Drosophila melanogaster: one gene and its partners. The protein of the gene in region 1 purifies or fractionates together with the protein of each later gene. This does not show direct contact. Each region holds a gene or a part of one and is shown on either strand. Other genes may lie near its edges.

Region 1 (3,616 bases):
AAAGAGACTTGTTACAATGCAATGATATGGTTAATATATTATTTTATTTATTTACTTATATATTAAGGATTTTTTTTAATATCGTGCCAAAAATGATTTTAACAACTTTACTCTGATCAAATGTAGCGCATTCGTGTGTCGCTTCTGATCGATCTGATCCACTGACGATCTGATTCATGAATGCCTAACACGCATCGGAATGGAGTAATAGCGCAAATATAGGAAAAATGCCAGGGACCAGTACTTAGTTGTTGATATTCTTGGGCGTGGAACAGAGGTAAGTACTACTGACGCAGAGCTGCCTCAAGATAAACGTAATCAGCATGGAATTATCGTTCGCATGGCATTTTAAGAATCAATACATATCTCGCTTATAGGCACCATTAACTAAGGTGACGACGCCCTTCCTCAAGCAATACCATGTCAGTGTCCATTACAAAAAAGTTTTACAAGTTGGATATAAATCGAACGGAATGGGAGATCCCGGATATATACCAGGATCTGCAGCCCGTGGGATCGGGAGCTTACGGACAGGTGTCAAAGGCAGTTGTTCGTGGCACCAATATGCATGTGGCCATTAAAAAGCTTGCCAGGCCTTTTCAATCAGCTGTCCATGCAAAGAGGACGTACCGGGAGCTTCGACTTTTAAAGCATATGGATCATGAGAACGTAATCGGTCTGCTGGACATATTCCATCCACATCCCGCTAATGGATCGCTGGAGAACTTCCAACAGGTGTACTTGGTTACCCACTTGATGGACGCAGATCTGAACAACATCATACGGATGCAGCACTTGTCCGACGACCACGTCCAGTTTTTAGTCTACCAGATACTCCGTGGCTTGAAGTATATCCACAGCGCCGGAGTGATCCACCGTGATCTTAAGCCCTCAAACATTGCCGTCAACGAGGATTGCGAGCTGCGCATTCTAGACTTCGGGCTGGCCCGCCCAACGGAGAACGAGATGACAGGCTATGTGGCCACGCGTTGGTACCGGGCACCTGAAATAATGCTCAATTGGATGCACTACGACCAAACAGTGGACATCTGGTCGGTGGGCTGCATCATGGCCGAACTAATTACCAGACGAACCCTCTTCCCAGGCACCGACCATATTCACCAGCTAAACCTGATTATGGAGATGTTGGGCACGCCACCCGCCGAATTTTTGAAGAAGATCTCATCGGAAAGTGCACGTTCCTACATCCAGTCACTTCCGCCTATGAAGGGACGAAGTTTTAAAAATGTTTTTAAGAACGCCAATCCGCTGGCCATTGATTTGCTGGAAAAGATGTTGGAGCTAGATGCCGAAAAGCGGATCACAGCCGAGGAGGCTCTTTCCCATCCATATCTGGAGAAGTATGCGGAGCCCAGCGTCGAGCAGACCTCACCACCATACGATCACAGCTTCGAGGATATGGATTTGCCCGTAGACAAATGGAAGGAATTGATCTACAAGGAGGTCACCAACTTTAAGCCCCCACCATCGTATGCTCAGGTTCTAAAGGATGTAAAGTGAACACAAACCATCAAGAATTTAAAGTATTACATAGGCCAATTTATTTGTTATAGCCTTTATGTTCCAACCATGTCTTTTGTACTCAAATTTATCAATTCTTAGTGTTAACTTTTTATTTTGTTTTTTTGCTGCTTACTGCTTATTTAACAAAAAATTTGTTTTATAAAAACATCAAGTTATTCAACTAAAAACCTTATTTTTGTCACCTCTTGGGCAGGATCTTTGGGTCTATAGCATATGTGTGTATCTCCGGTCATACAGATGACTGAATCGAACAAGTTTAGTGTTCTGTCAGTCGAATGTGCACTGATAGATAAGGTGTTGAGAAAAGATAAGAGTTTAGCGGGTGACTAAATGCAAGCTCAGTTTTCTTTCTGTTTCCTTTCGTAGAAGACATATTTTTGCACATTTAATCCAGAATGCCGGAGTTCGTGAGAGTGGCAATTAACGAAAGCCTTTGGGAGTTCCCGGATATATACGAGTTCGTTCGTTTTCTGGGTGGCGGTTCCTTTGGCCAGGTGGCTAAGGTGAGACTACGAGGCACTGAAAATTACTTCGCTATGAAAAGGCTTATGCGCCCATTCGAGAGGGAGGAGGATGCTAAGGGTACCTATCGCGAGATCCGTCTGCTGAAGCACATGAATCATCGAAATGTTATCAGCCTGCTGAACGTCTTCCATCCACCAGCGCACAACATGATGGAATTTCAGCAGGTTTATTTGGTGACTCACCTGATGGACGCGGATTTGCACAGGTACTCGCGTTCGAAAAGGATGAGCGATCAAGAGATTAGGATAATCCTTTACCAAATACTGCGGGGACTGAAGTACATACATAGTGCCGGGGTTGTTCATCGAGACTTAAAGCCCTGCAATATCGCAGTTAATGGAAATAGCGAGGTGCGCATACTTGACTTCGGTTTATCCCGTATGTGCGCAGACAAAATGACGGACCATGTTGGAACTATGTGGTATCTAGCTCCGGAAATTATCTTTTTAAGGGGTCAATACACAAAGGCAATTGACGTGTGGTCGGTTGGTTGCATTCTGGCGGAACTTATCACGGATCGTGTCCTGTTTCGCGGTGAAAACTATGTAAGCCAAATACGATGTCTGATTAACATAATGGGTACTCCGACGAGGGAGTTTATCACCGGGATAAGCATGGAACGTTCGCGTAATTACCTGGAGGGGTACCCGTTACGACAAAGGTGCGATTTTCATCACCTGTTTATGGGTTACGATGTCCAGGCCATCGATTTGATGGAAAAAATGCTCGAAATGGTACCCGAAAAACGTATCACAGCTGCGGAAGCAATGCTCCATCCATACCTTCGGGATCTTATTGAGCCACACCATCATGCCGAAGACACCGCACCAGTCTATGATCAGAACTTCGAAAACATGGTACTGCCTGTAAAATGCTGGAAAGAACTTGTTTCCCACGAGATTCGGAACTTCAGACCTGACCAACTTGATTTGCATTTTTAAAATGCCGTAGTTAATGTAGCAGAAGTAATAAATTTTAAATTAATTAAATGAACAAATTTTTCACAAAATTAAATTAAAAACTGGATATTCATAAATTTAAACATTGAAATCATTGAAATACCCCTATTAAATCTTCCGGATCTGGCAGCGCTGGCGACAGCTGATTTTGCCTTACCGGCTTATTTTATTTTGCATTCGATAATAAAAATAATGTTGAGCCTGCGAAGTGTATTAAAACACTGCCTTTCGGCAAAGAAAACGTGTAGCAGAAACATCTCCGCGCTGTACATAACCGGCGATAAAGCGAACGAAAACTATGTGACTCTGCAGCCGTACATGGACTTCAATAAAACCTTTGGAGAGCGGCAATTTTTGGAGCAGAGCATCTCCAGCCGGGGATTGGACATTCGTTTGGAAACTGTGCTCAGCAAGTACGAGAAGTATAAAACACATCACGCTCAGCTGTCCAAGGTGGCGGAGGAACGCGAAAGGGTGACCAAGCGCCTAAAGGAGCTAACGAAATCTGGTAGTAGTGCGGTTCAGCTGGAGGAGTTGAAAGAGCATGGGAAATCGTTGCGCAATGAGCTAAAGGCTCTGAAGCAGAC
Region 2 (4,871 bases), 3.8 Mb from region 1:
TCATCGCGGATGTCGCGGTGGCGAAGACCAAGTATCCCTTGAGGAGCAAGTACATCGGCTACGCCCAGCTCTGTCGATCGGTACTGCATCCAAGGGATAAACTCATTGCAGCCGGTTGGGGATTCGAAGGCGGCGTTTGGGATGAGTCCAGGAAGAAAACATTTCGCTCGATGAAAGTTGGTATTGTGAGTAAACGAGATTGCGAGAAGCAGCTGGATCGCAAGATGCCACCCAATATCATCTGTGCCGGTGCCTACAACAACAAGACTCTCTGCTTCGGCGACTCCGGTGGACCACTTCTGTTGGGGCGGCAAGTTTGTGGCATCAACACGTGGACTTTCAAATGCGGCAACAACGAAAAGCCAGACGTATACATGGGTGTGCGATACTACGCCAAGTTTATTAAAAGAACTATTAACAGAATGGGCTTTTGAAGAAATTTATTTGAGTATCACAAAATAAAAATACTGTCTATCTAAGTTTACAACTTAGTCATAAATTAAATTTTAAACTGGTATTAAGTGTGTGTGACTCGACAGACTTCATGTTATTCCATTTCAGCAGCGTTTTTTATTGTCAATCTCATGAAGCTGATAACCTAGATGTCTAAAATGACTAACTAAACCGCTTCCAATTATTCATGTAGATAAGTTTGGTTTGTTCAAGCTACGATTCTATGATTTACAAGGTTGTAATTGGAAAACAAAAATATACTGATTAAATAGCATATAATAAAATATATGTTCAATACTCAAACAACTAACTTTATATATTTCAATTACATTTTTACATTTGGCTACATTTCAATCTTGTACGTCCATGTACAATTCTACAAATCTGATTGAAGAATGCAGTTGTAGAATGTAGAATGTGGCGCTCTTTGCACCTTAGACTCACGTGCTGTTACCTCATTCTTCGACTCTCTTCTTTCTCTCCCCTCTCTCTATCTTTTCCCTAAGAATTCTCACCAGCTCAGCGAAGCGTAAGATGGGAGAGAAAGAATTGCATTGTTGGCGCCTAGCCGGTAAAAATCATACGATAAAGGGGAAAAGTCGGGAAAAGCGGGAAGACAAACACGCTGCTATGGAAAATATCTTGTTTTGTCCCACAGTTTCACTTAAACTAATGTATTTACGACCTCTGCTCTTCGCGCTCTCTGCACTTCGAGAAATCAGGGAAGATATTGCCGCAATTTTGGATAGTGATTCAAATAAATATACTCACTAATGAAGAGGAACTTAGCATGAATAAATGGTTCGGGTATTCATAGGTTTTCGAATGAAATTTGTTTTTATTGTTCATCATTTAAGAGGCATTGTTTTAAACATAACCAACGTTCTAATTAATAATCTTTATCTAAAGTATTGATGTAATTTGGGTCATGTATTAATGAAATGTTCCACCTGTAAAAAAAAAATAATAACCTGTTTAATAAAATAAACCTGTTTTATAGGGACTCTAAAAATGTATATACAGCTGTGCCCAAGATAACAGCAGCACGTTATTACAACTATAATATTTATAATTTTTAAGAGTAACAAAAGTTTCTTTGTAAAAACTTTTGTATTTTTAGAACTCTGATCTCTGATCATCTGTTTGATATGAAAAATTGTTATACTAAATTCAATACATCACCAAAACTATCTACAATATATTAATCTAAGATTGCAAACCATAATTTTATCATTTCTTATCATGCCAATTTGTAAAGGCATTTTTTTATAAATATTTTTCCGAGTGGAAAACTAATGCGGCCCCCTTTAACCGTAGAGCACAAATTCCCCAGCGGGTCGCGTTCGGTTTCTCGCCATTCATTCAGTTCACGTTGGATTCTCAAAGCGAACGCGTGTCGATCGTTCTGCTCACGAAAAGCTCTCCTCCGACTCTTCACCGGATTCAACCGAATGCGTGACCGATTGTGACTCAGATTCGGATTCAGATTCAGATTGATATAGTGGCTGATAATTGCTGATAGTGCGTGTGTGCGTCAGTGTGTTCAATTGAGTTAAGTTTGGCTGCCAAAAGTTACTAGTTCATTTGCGAAATGAGGGAAATTGTGCATCTGCAGGCGGGCCAGTGCGGCAATCAGATCGGTTCGAAGGTGCGTATAATTGATATTCCATCGGTGTTCGCATCACAGACCTTTGCTCTATTTTATAGCTACTTTTCGCTACTATCCTAACCTCACATGTTTAATTATAAAACAGGGGGAAATGAAGAAAGAGCGCTCTTTGCCTCTCTCACTGCGACTTTCTCTCTCTCTCTCTCTCTCTTGGCTTTTCACGTTTTGTTTTTAGTGGCCAGCAATTAAAATGGGTGGGGGGTTGGTGGGGGGTGGCATAGATTATTTTGCCAGTTCGGGAAACTATAAAACTGCAAAACATTGAAGAAACCTAACGTACTTGGCACTTATCTTATCGCTCGCAAGATACGAATATCAGCAACCTTAAAGTATCGCATTTAAATTACCTTGGACTCGCAGCATATCGCAGTGAATTAAACCCAGAAATCCGCTCGCAAACTAAGCAAAATCACCTCAGTCAGGTGTAAACAATTAGATCGCCGCTCAGTTGAGAGCTTGTGATCAGCCGGCTATGCAAATCTGCACAGCAAGAAAAAAAGTAGTACCTTTAAAAAGATAAATAAACTTTATATGATTATTTAATCGTTATAAAGTAGTTTCCATTTAAACACAATTATGATTTAAAATTGAATTACAGATCCTTTTTATTCATTTGTTATTATAGAATAGAAGTTGATATTTTTTTTTCAGTGTACCTGGAGGTTTCTCGTTTCAAGAAATCCGATCTGTGAACCAAGTATTTTTGGCGGGAACTCAGAGTAAAATGCGGCAGCTTAGTGCCCTGTTAGTAGCATTTTGAAACTGGCTCGAAGGTTTCTCAGAAACTTCCGTCTTTTGGACAATTAACACAACTAACTGGTTCTGTAAACTAGTACTTTTCACAGGCTTTTATGATGTTTGCCCTCGCACAGTTGGCTGATCTTACTGTCATAAAGAACTCGTCGAAGGTTTCGTGGGTACTTCTAATTACGACAGAGGGGCTTGTAAATAATGTATCTGTATCTTGAACCGATATATGTATCTGATTCATGGCTGACTGTGACAAAGTGGCGGGCTTATGTGTGCGCTGCTTTCACTATCGGCGGCCTCTAATCAGTGGGCTTGTTTACACAACTTTAAACATAAATACCCGAAAAGTAAGAACTGATATGGGTTGCGCCGAAAATAGCAATTACATAGTGTGTTCTGGTATTTTGAGTAGAAAAGCGGCAGCATGTTTGCGGGCAATTAGAGGAGTGGAAATGAAAACAGCGCCCATTCTAAGCTAATTCAGCGCATTAACATTAACTCGCACAATTTGCTGCGTCATGAAAATCCAGCTACAAAAAGTCGTTGACGTTTGACACAGTTTTTGTTTTTATAATGCTTATTTTTTTTATATGTTTTTGTCTTTTTCCCGGCATTTCCCAGAGCAGTTTTCTCTGACCGTTTCTCTTTGCGCTCGCATTGCGCGCTTTTCCTCTTGAGTTTTATGCAAACACATTTCCACATATTTTAAAGTACTTTTTTGCGTGTTTTCACCACTGCCTTTTGCAGTTAATTAGAACGCACTTTTCCGGGATAAGCCAAGCCCAACATCCGATTTTGTACGCCCCCGAATCAGAGCATTATTACATCCATATTTTGCGGCCATTGTTATGTGTAGCTATTGTGCAGTTAAAAAATAAATACGATTATTTATGCAATTTGCGCTTATCGAATTTTTATAGATGGCATAAAGCCTGTTTGTTGGTGCATTAAATTTGAATATAATAATGGCGAACATATTTTGTTGCATGTCCTATTCATGCTCTTGTGTTGTTTTTTTTTTTTTTTTTTTTTTTTGCACACTGCCCGATTTTGTGCCTTAATTGAATGTCCTTTTCTGATTAATTGGCTGTCAGTATGAAATATTGTTGCAGCCTAGAATAAACAAATAATAAATGTGCAAAACTGCCTACGTGGCAAAATAGTTTGCACAATGGTGAATGGCGTAAATGGTGAATGTGATTTTTAAATAAATTTTCAAAACTAATTGCTCCGCTGATAAAGGCCAATAAGCAAATAAAAAAAAAAAACTTAACAGATTGATTACACATTAAGAGCAGAGCTTATTCACACATGAACGGGCTGCAAACAGAATGGATTGTAATTATAAAAACAGAGCTTAACAATTGAAATCCCGGCAGCGTACGCATGTTTTGTAAACATAATGTTTTCATTGAATCACGTTAAGTTCAATTCGATTTTAAGGCAGACAGCAATTTAAGCCATTCTCTTGGCTTCGATTAAATATGGCAAAATGCCGTCGAAAACGTCTTCCGGCCTTCCTCTGCCAACACCACGAAATTGATCACATATGTATGTATGTATGTATCGAGCGAGGCAAAGGCATCTATCCAAGGATATTTTGGCCTGCAGCTAGAGTTCGTTTTTCTTTTTCTTCATTATTTACATAAACCTAATTTTCCCTAAATCATTTTGTGAACAATAACAAGGAAAATCTATTTACGGGCACGGCATAAAGCCGAAGGAAAAGCGTTGTGCCACCATGGCGGAGAAATTTATAGACGAGCAGAACGTAGAAAATGGGAGCAAAAGGGGAAAGCGGAGAAAGTCAAGCAAGAACAGACAATAAAATTAAAGAGTGGAATAAGCCAGGCTGCAACGGCTCCTTTTAGCCAGTGTGGCATGCAGTGTGGCACACCCATATAGTCTGCCCCAGGATACGTTTGTTTGGCCCATAATGGCAGGGCATCATCGAGCAGCGCCAAAATAATGCACAAAATTGAATTATCGATGACGCTCG
Region 3 (4,780 bases), about 15 Mb from region 1:
AATCGAATAGCCACAACGCACACTTGAGCCCCAGCACTACCAACAGAAATAACATATAAAAATGTTTGTATAATTAAACGCCATTTTAAACAAATAAACGCGCGTCGTCAGTCGTTGATGCAGATTTTGTTGTTGCTGTTTCTGTTGGTCGCGCTTCGGTTTTTGTGTCGTCGCATTTTTAATTAGCAATGAAATCATAATAAAATAAAACATCTCATGCATAATTGAGTTGCAAGTTGGGGCTTCATTGCCATGCCATTATGAAAAAAAAAAAACAAAACTGGCTCAGGTATTCATAAGTAACTAAAACTGCTTCGTGGGTACGGACTCGTTTAGATAGGTCTTAGGTGGAACAAATTTAAATTAACGATTCATAAGCGCAGTAGAGTGAGTTATTATTAGCATCGCGGTACGGCAGGATTTCTCAACATTTTAAATTGGCCAGCATTATGTCGAACTCAACGGATTAAGTAATCAGTATAATCAGTATTATAGTAACAAATAAAATAGGTAGCTGTAAGATCCTAAATATAAGGTGTAGGTACCGAGTTTTCGCAGACCTTCTAACCTCATACACACACACGGGATCCTTTCTTATAGGGGGCCTGCTTTCAAAACTATTTCTGCGGACTCCTGTAATTCATCCTGTCGTCTGCTTTCCATTATTACACGTTCTCAACGCTCACAAGATTGCTTCAAACCGATCTGTCTCTATCCCACATCTGCCTGCCCCGGTATCGTTTTGATATGTGAATGCCTAACACGATCCACGCTTTTGAAAGATCCGCCCAGTCCAACCCGAATCCCGCCACGCCCCTTTTTTCCACCAATCTCGCAAGATGCCTTGCTCGTTTTGTAAATAGCTTTTTTGAAGACGAAAGATCAAGACAAATCAAATCAAATCGATCCAATTTAAATGTTTGTGCCTATCTAAATGTGTGTGTGTTTTACTACTCGAAAAATGCATTGCCACTCTGACAACTGTATCTATATCTACAAGTTTAATGCGAAGAACATACCTATATATTGCCTAAATGTTTACTGTATGTATATTTATTATTGCTGCATAATTCACTCATAAATATTTTTTTCTTTTTCTTTTTTCATATAAACGTTAAAAAAAAAAACTCGCACATTCCACCACAAAACCACCAAACAAAAACTAAAAATAAAAAACTAAATGAAATTAAAACTGAAACATAGAAGGATCGTAAATAGAGTATCAATATATGTGCATATGCATATATAGCGACGTACACGAACTGTCTCTGTCACTGATAGCGATCGATAGCTGTACCTCCATGTGTGTGCATGAGTGGCAGCATCAGTAGCGTACCCAAGGACCAAGGACCTCATCCACATAGCCCATCAATCTCACAGATGCCAGTGGCGGATTCCCCCCGATAAAGGCATCGAATCGAATTACATCGCATCCATTGGACGAGGACGAGGACTAGGACTAAAGGACAGTGACTGACGCATCCTGCGCTCGTTTGATCGTTCGTTCGCTCGCTCGCTCGCTCTATCGCTCTTTCGCTCGCACGCACCAAAAAAACCAAACAGAAATACCAGAAACAATACCAAGCAAGCCAAAAACCAAATAATACAAAGCTAAACAGACGCCTCATTACCAAACATCGAACGTTTCGTTGTCGTTTAACAAAAAAAAAAAAAAAAAAAACCAGAAGCACAGCAACCAAATTCAATTCAATCAAATCAAGTCCAAGCCAATCCAATCCAATCCAAGATCCAATTAAATTAAATCAAGCCGAATCCACGAGACATAGAAACTGAAAAGTAAACAGTAAGATCAACAGATCAACGAAACCCAAAGCAAAAAGCTAAAGCAATCATCAGTCAAAGTCGATAACCAAAACCAGCAACATTCAGTTAAAAATGGCCGAAGACGCTACCATGGAGACATGTCCAAGTCCTGAAACCGGCGACTCACGCAAAAGGCCACTCGATTCCGATCCGGAAAATGAACAAACTAAACGCTCACATTTCAGTTCCGGTAAGTTGACCAAAATCCAATCCAAATCCAAATCAAAATTCAAAATCAAATTCAAATTCAAATCGAAATCAATATCGAAATCGAAACTCAATTCATTTCGCCAGCAGAAGGAAGAAATTGAAATATATATCTCAAATCGCTCTTGCATATCCCCATTATCGTGCTCTCTCTTTTTCTCTCTGTCAATCTCAATCTCGATCTCAATCTCAGTTTCAATATCAATCTTAAGCTCCTCAACTCGACGCTCTGTGTATATCTATCTCTCGTTCGTTATCTATTTATCTATCCATTGCTTTTTTATCTCCGAAGCGTATAAATAACTGATTCAATTTGTTTGCCCAACTTTTCTGCCGATCGTGCCGTTTCCCTTCTTTATTATGTGGTCATGTTGTTGTTGTTGTTGTTGTTATCACAATATATCCCCCCGATATGCGTACCTACATATATCTATGTATATATATACTTAGTATCTATGATTTTCTTACTTTTTTCTTTTAGTCGTTTGTCGCTCGTGTTATTTATTGTTGCTGTTGTCGTTTGTTATTCAGATTCAATTAATCAGCACGAGAAATTCATTTGCAGTTTGCCCCCAATACGTTCGATGTCAGTTTTGCAACCGAACAAACGAACCAACGAACGAACGAACAGGCAGCAGACTTTGATTCGTAATTAAGCCAGATATGGCGTATACGCCCCGAGGGCCCCCTCTACACGTACACAGCTACAGTGTACATCTTAAAATGACAACTGGCATCTGTTATATGGCATACAGCGGTATCTAGTACCTAGTGTAGTATCTGCCTGGCTGGCGGCTGTATCTTTGCGCAGGATTTGGCGCCGAGACATTGTGGGCCCAGTTTGACCCAATTTTGGGCATGACCTCCGCCTGCAATCTCCTGCAGCTTCATCAATGGCCTGCAATTAGATACAAGTGCTGTCCGTGCACGTCCCTGAACGTCCAAACGAATGGCATTTGAAAAGCTCCTCCCTGCTTCACTCATCCGACAAACTGAACTGCAGTCGGGACAGCCGAGGGGGTCACAAAAATTCATATGGAGATTAGCATTTAAAAGAAGAAGCTCCCAATCCGTGAGCTCCATTGCCAAACCCATACTGCCTGTCTGTCAGTCAGTCTGTCGGTCAGTCGGTCTGACCACAAGCTATTAACTAGTTGCTTTGCATGATTTGTTCGGCTCAAAACCAGCTGGCAAGCTCCAAGGTGAGCATGCCACTACGCAATCGAAGTACCTGTCGTCATAGCCACGAAAATAGCAAAAGGTGTAAGTGTTAGAGTCGCACTGTCGCCCCCGCTGGCTTTTGGTATTTAGACGGATAGCAGTGGCTAGAGCCAGAAGCGTGTAAACGTGTTTTCGAGTTTCCTAATTGTCAATTGGAAATTATGAAGGGTAGATTAGTCCTCGGTTTTCGTTCATCACAGCAGGCTCTCTCAAATACGTCAAGTGTTAAAATCCCAAAAAAAAAAATATCTACAGAAAATAAAACAAAATTCCAGTGTTGTCTTAATGTTGCATCAAAAATTTTAAGTTTTATCTCGTGAATTGGAATGCGGAAGCTTTGTTCGAGTAAGTTCAAGTTCGTTAAATAGGCAAATATAACTTATTTCCATATACTCCACTCCATTCATTAAAGCAGACACTATATTATATGCTCGGGGACATCCATAGTTAATGGGTTAGTTCTGCCTAAGAATTTGTTTGCTTATGAACAATGCCATTTTATCAGCTGTTTGTTTGGCCAGTTTCCATTCAAACCGATGGCATTATAGATGAGCCCAGATAAATAGATTCGTTACATGTATGTGTACAGCTGGGCATTTGTAATTAATTAGCCACCATTGAGGCTGCCTGTTTGCTGGACAGAGAACAGGTCCATGTCATATGGTTTTGGGTATTTACTCACGTCGTCGTTTTATTAGTTTTCTGGCAATTTATTTGCTTAGCTGCCTTGACAGTCATTTGTTTTTTGTGTGCTATCTATTTAATTTTTTCAGTTTTTTCTTATTTATGACTGTCATGGCTGGAATTCTGTGTAGCTGGTTGGTGAGAGAGCAGCGCAAAGTTTTTGAGATGCACAGAGAAAAATAATCTTCTTAAATTCTAATAAGTATTTAAGGTGTAAGGTTTTAAAGTTTAATCCAAAGAAGTTAGGAAATTCAAACAACTTTTTGTCAACAATTCTTTTAAGCAAGAATTCAACTCTTTACCATATACTTAATTTTTTTTTGACTTATTGTTTTCCGTGTAGCCTGGACTAGAAATGCGTCAGTTGGCGGGGCTGCTGCAAAGGAAATGCAGTAAAATCGAGGAAAATCGGGGCGGTGGGTCAGCGTGGAGGTTTTGGACGACTGGTGGCGTGGCTTATGTAATCAGTACTGGCAGGGCAGCTGGAAAAGCGTGCGAATAGTTGGGGGTGTATACTGTAGCGAACTCTAGTTCGCCGTAAGAGAGAGAAGCGAGAGCTGCTCTCGGCAAACGTTGACAGCATGGCAAGCGGTTGACCTACTTTGATGACAATGCGGGTGCGTACGTGTATCTGTATCTGTATCTGTGTGTGCCTGTGGTCGCTCCGCTGCCATCGCTGCTTGCCTGCCTGCCTTTGCTCGGTGCTTTTCGTCTAGGAAGGGTCCTGCGCAGTAGGACGACTCGAACTCCTCGAACGCGGCGACCATTCAGCTGCACTGCAGCATTTGGCGCCATTGCAGCTGCCACAGCAGCCGATGCAGCCGCAGCAGCCGCAAACGCAGCA
Region 4 (5,047 bases), about 15 Mb from region 1:
CCAGCACCCATTCGCCAGCGACAGAGTGTTCCAGTTAGTGGATCCAATCTGGCCCGTGGTCGCCTGCTCCAGCCGACCACCGCAGTAAACACTCTATATCCACAACTAAATGAATTCTACGATCAGCCGAATGACGCAGGCGAACCCATGGAGACGGAGAGCGAGTCCGAAGTCGAGGAAGTACCCATCAATAGCCATTTCCAAAAGAATCGCTTCTCGCCGCTGGCTAGAAAACCTCTGGTAAGACACCACGATCAGGTTTCGCCTATGGCGCAGTTCCGTGCACTGGCGGTGTCATTGGATCAAAAATATAATCTCAAATTCTACTTAATATTGGTAGTGTCAGTGATGCTGGCCACCATGGTGTACGTGGTATTGACACCCAACGCCTGAGAAGCGTTCATATCGCGGAATACATTTGGTTTTGGTTACTCCACGCATTTCAACCACAGACTACAGCGAAGGAATATTTATGACGACTTTGCACCTTAAGACTACTACTTCAATTCCAAACATGTTCAAAACTAACAAATATTCAACTCAATTTGCCAAGTCTTTAATTGCTTGTTCTCGCATATTGTTTCTTTTTATACATAATTAGAAAAATGTACTACATTATAATTATTGTATTGTATTAAATAAACTAATTAAATGTAAGTGCTCAGTGTGTTTTGTTGCGATTTGTGTTTGTTTGTGGTACTCTCTGACAACGGACCATGGGTTTATTTATGCTTTATGCTACTATTTACACGCCATTTAAATGAACAAAACAGTGTAAAATCGTTAAAGGATATCGGGGATCGCGGCTAGGACATCACAAAGCAAATGGCTGCTGGCTGACTAATTGAAGTGGAACTTGAACTGGAACGGCGACCCGTGTTGGAAGTGTCCAAACGGATGTTCGCCATGGAAGCCGCCACGCTGATTGCTCTCAGGATCTAATGGATCCTCGCCGTTGTCGAATTGACGACGCTTCTCGGGATCCGTGAGAACCTCCTTGGCTGCGGCAATGTCAATAAACTTTTTCTCGGCCACCTTCTTTTCCTCGTCGCGGAAGTTGTCCGGATGCCACTTTTGCGCCGCCTTCCTGTAGGCCTTCACAATCTCCTGTTTGCTGGCGCTACGCTTAACGCCTAATATCTTATAGTAATCCCTGCGCTCTGACTGCTTCTGCAGCTTCTTTGCCCTCTGGATGCCTTCTTTAGCGCGGGTGTTGCTCTCTTCCAGGTCGAGAGCTGCTTGGAAGGAGTGTATGGCATCGTCGTACATTTCGGTGCCCAGCAATGCGTCAGCACGATCACAGTAGACCTGAGCATCCTTCATAATATCCAGTGCCTCCTTGCACTGTTGCAAAGCCTTGCCAAACTGCTCGTCGCCCGTGTAGCAAGTGCAGAGCACCTTGTGTCCCTCATACCGGATCATCGTCTCCTCCGGCTCGTTACGCAGGACTGCCTCTCCGGCGGCTATGCACTCGGCAAAATGCTTCTCCTCACGCGCTTGCTCTGCGTTAACCAGCTGCTTTTCCACCTTTCGTAGTTTCTTGTAGAAGGGGAAGCAGAGCTTGTGTTCCGGGTCGAACTTCAGGCACTCGCGGATCTCTTTTAAGGCATTTGTGGCGTGGCCAATTGTGTACAGCAGCTGTGCAATCTTGTAGTGACCCTCAGTGCTGTCCTGGGTGAGTCGGTTCACCTGTCGCAAGTCAGCAATGGCTAACAGTGGATCATTGATTGCAATGTAGGCATCAGAGCGAGCCTGCCGGAAGGGCACAGCCCACGGCGAGATCTCTAGCAACTGTGTGATCATGGGGATGGCGTTTTGGTGATCACTGTATTGGATCAGCTGCTGTACAAGGACCCACTGCTCCTGGGCGGGTGCCAAGCGGGAATAGTGCTCCAGCACCAAGCCGTTGTTGGGTTCCTCTTGAAGGACTTGATCAAAGTCCTGGATCGCTTGCTCGTACTCTCCGCTCTTCATGTGCACAACACCCCGCTGGATTCGGGCGGCCATAAAGTCTGGCTTCAGTTCCAGCACCCTGCTGAAATCCTGGACGGCAAAGCGCGTCTTGCCCAGCGCCAAATAGACGGTGCCGCGCTTGAAAAGCGTCAGATAGTTGTTGGCATCGCCCTCTGTGAAAATGATAATGGTTAAATCAATGACGAGGGCATAGAAAGGCTAAAAAATATCCTAGCACAAATGAATGTAGTCCTAAACAAAAGTTTACCAAATTAATGTTATCATCAAATTCAAGACAAAAGATACAAGTTTGTTTATTGACCTTGGCATTTGCAAAACATGGTTATGTTTTAAACCATACGATTCTATGATTTGTTAATCAAAAATAATTAAAATCTTTATAAAATATTTAGATTCGTTGCCAATGGACACTTTTGAACGCGATGTTATGTAAATTCACGTGAATTAAAGAATATAAATGTATTGTCATAGATATTCCGATTCTTTCGTGTGTACAAGCCAGTTATATTTACCAACAGCTGCATGGTAGTGCGTCAGTGCATCCGACAGCTGTCCGCGGGCGAGGAACTCCTTGCCCAGCTCCAGATGGTTCTCAATATCCGCTGGACTGGCCGTCGACTCGGCGCCTGAGCGAGAAACAATGACGTGTATTTCAGATGCCTTCGAAGATAAGGATTTGAAGTACGTACCTTCCAGGAAGAGCTCCAGCAGGAGCAGCACCAGGCAGGCAGCCAATTTCTTCTCGCCGCCGCCGATCATGAGCAGGTCACTCAATGGCAAGGCCATGACGATGGCTACGTGTACTTAGATGCCCCCGCAAAAAACCAGTGTGGGCGTGATTTGGAGTTGATTCCCAATCGACACGCACGTCGAATCTGCTTGGCGTGGCAGCTTCTAATCTCTACGGTCGCACCGCTTCCCCTCCTGCACATCAACTTTCACTGGCGGCTTTATTTTCAGCTCGCTGTTATGGATTTTGCGTCCGTTTTTGGTAAACTTGCGGCGCCGTCTGCGATGATTATTCGGTAATTTCTGACTTGGTCAGCTGATTGTTTTGACTGTCTGTGTGTTATGGAGTTTAGATGGTACTCCCCATGGGCATTGCAGCCACTTCTAGTTCGGAATCGCGACCGCTGTGCACTGAACTTTTCGCTTATAAATATTATAAACTAAAAACTGACGTGTTCACGTTCTCTAGGGATGGGCGAATTTTGGCCGCAGGTGATACAAGTCACTGGTTCTTCACGCAGTCACGAGTCGCAACTATCGGATGTGGGCGACGGCAGTGCTGGCAGCTTTTGGCTGTTGTCTAGCTACAACTGATCAAAAGAAATTTCATAATAAATGAAGTAAATTATTTAGATCGCACTACACAAGTCATTAAAGTAGAACTAGCTTTTTGACGCTATTTTAAAGCTAGTTCTGCAATCATTGCAAAAAGCTGTCTAAACCAATCGATTTCTGCCGCCCAACTAAAAAAGTAACGGCAATTCAAACTTTGGTCACATGAATGTTTATTCGGAACATGAATTTGGTAAATATATCTGCAACTACACATAATAAAATCCATAGTATATTGATATTTTAAATATTCTTATACATTTTCGGTAATTATTGTAAATACTTATCGGTTTCATCTGGAAATAAATGCATTTCTTGAGCATTAAAAGTTCGCCGCGAAGCTTAGATTGCTCGTATAACATCTTGTATGTTCTCATTGCTTATTTCTTATCGCTAAGTGGTCAAATGGATATATGTATGTATGTGCTGGTAGTGTTTAAAGGCGTTCTGTGAGATTAATATGGCTCAGAGTTAGAAAGAGATATGCGGCTGGAGTGCCTTAGGGACCGATCGAAGAAATGGACAGAGATATAGCTATATGGTTTATGCCCTACGGAATATCCACTAAATAAAGCTCTAAGCACTTTCACGTTCCAGAGATCGCTGCGTGTGTGCATATGGTCTAGTAAGTGTAATTGGATGGAGGGTACATGTATGTATATGGTCTATGTAAGCTTGAGTTTCGGGAGCTACGCTCCAATGCATTGCAGTTTCTGCACTGTGCTTGGCTACAACAGAAATCTATGCTGTTTGCTGTTCCACTTGGTTAGGAAATCACAATGTTGATCAGATCGTCCAGAGGCTGGTCCGCCGAGTGCGGCTGAGAGGCGGCGTGTGCCTTTTGCATGTGAGCTGGAAGTGATGTTCATCTATATGGAAGGGCATCATTGAGTGATTTCGCATACATACTCTTGAGCTTAATGTGCGTGACAAATCTTTCCTGACAGAGATCGCATTTGTAGTAGGTTTTGCCCGTGTGAGTTCGCTGATGCAGCCGCAATGACTTCTCAAACAGATAGGCTCGACCGCAAACGTTGCACTTGAAGTTCTTCTCCAAGACTGTAAAAGATTGATGTATTACATGTTTCTAATAATACATATGTACATGTGGACATCCTTACCCTCGTGACTCAAGCGATGCTGGGTGAGCACATACTTGAGGGCGAATGCCTTGCCGCAAACATCGCACACATTGGGCTTCTCCTTCTCGTGGGTCTTGATGTGCCACTTCATGTCCTGGGCGCGCTTGAACCGCTTGGAACAGTGCGGGCAGGCGTGCGGTCGATCCTTCTCGGAATGCACGGCAGCGTGCCGCTCCAGAGCGGACTTCATGTTGAACCTCTGGCTGCAGCTGCCGCACTGAAAGAGTCCGGAGTACTGGCGTTCCCGCTTCTGTTGCAGCACCCGTTTGTTGTTCGCTATGATGGGAGCGCCAGGACGCTGCAAGTGCTCCGCGGACATGTGGTGGATCAAATCCGGTTCGCTGGAGAAGGGCTGGCGGCACAGCATGCACTCACTCCGCTCGATGGCAGTCAGGTTCTCCCTGTGCCGCTCCAGCATGTGAATCCTTTTCTCCGCATAGGATGCAAAGACTGTTGGGATTGGACAAAAATGGGTTTAGCATCCATTGGCACATAGATAACGGATGGCTAGTCGTAGAGGGTGTCATGAAGTAGAAAACTCGGAAAAATGTATCGTCCTGAAGGTAGGAAGTAAAGTTGGTGAAGAAAAA

What was found.
Region 2: the proteins of p38c (region 1) and betaTub97EF purify together in Drosophila melanogaster (affinity purification with mass spectrometry, with the first as the bait; one large-scale study listed by BioGRID). This does not show direct contact.
Region 3: the proteins of p38c (region 1) and ps purify together in Drosophila melanogaster (affinity purification with mass spectrometry, with the first as the bait; one large-scale study listed by BioGRID). This does not show direct contact.
Region 4: the proteins of p38c (region 1) and P58IPK purify together in Drosophila melanogaster (affinity purification with mass spectrometry, with the first as the bait; one large-scale study listed by BioGRID). This does not show direct contact.

The regions. Positions count from the first base shown.
Region 1 is NT_033777.3:24,148,507-24,152,122, reverse strand, and holds p38c (p38c MAP kinase), read left to right. Parts: upstream 1-1,919; 5' UTR 1,920-1,940; coding exon 1,941-3,011; 3' UTR 3,012-3,103; downstream 3,104-3,616. Other genes in the region: p38a MAP kinase, read left to right, coding at 421-1,521; Slimp (Seryl-tRNA synthetase-like insect mitochondrial protein), read left to right, coding at 3,222-3,616. UniProt on the Drosophila melanogaster protein: Kinase involved in a signal transduction pathway.
Region 2 is NT_033777.3:27,985,329-27,990,199, reverse strand, and holds the start of betaTub97EF (beta-Tubulin at 97EF), read left to right. Parts: upstream 1-1,815; 5' UTR 1,816-2,044; coding exon 2,045-2,101; intron 2,102-4,871. Other genes in the region: CG4815 (uncharacterized protein), read left to right, coding at 1-434.
Region 3 is NT_033777.3:9,430,826-9,435,605, forward strand, and holds the start of ps (pasilla), read left to right. Parts: upstream 1-1,776; 5' UTR 1,777-1,896; coding exon of another isoform or gene 1,897-2,014; intron 2,015-3,440; exon of another isoform or gene 3,441-3,578; coding exon of another isoform or gene 3,579-3,597; intron 3,598-4,780. UniProt on the Drosophila melanogaster protein: Functions to regulate alternative splicing in neurons by binding pre-mRNA in a sequence-specific manner to activate exon inclusion.
Region 4 is NT_033777.3:9,585,076-9,590,122, reverse strand, and holds P58IPK (P58IPK), read right to left. Parts: upstream 3,182-5,047; 5' UTR 2,761-3,181; coding exon 2,664-2,760; intron 2,601-2,663; coding exon 2,487-2,600; intron 2,127-2,486; coding exon 841-2,126; 3' UTR 542-840; downstream 1-541. Other genes in the region: bocks (bocksbeutel), read left to right, coding at 1-393; CG8301 (uncharacterized protein), read right to left, coding at 4,082-4,167, 4,225-4,374, 4,437-4,907.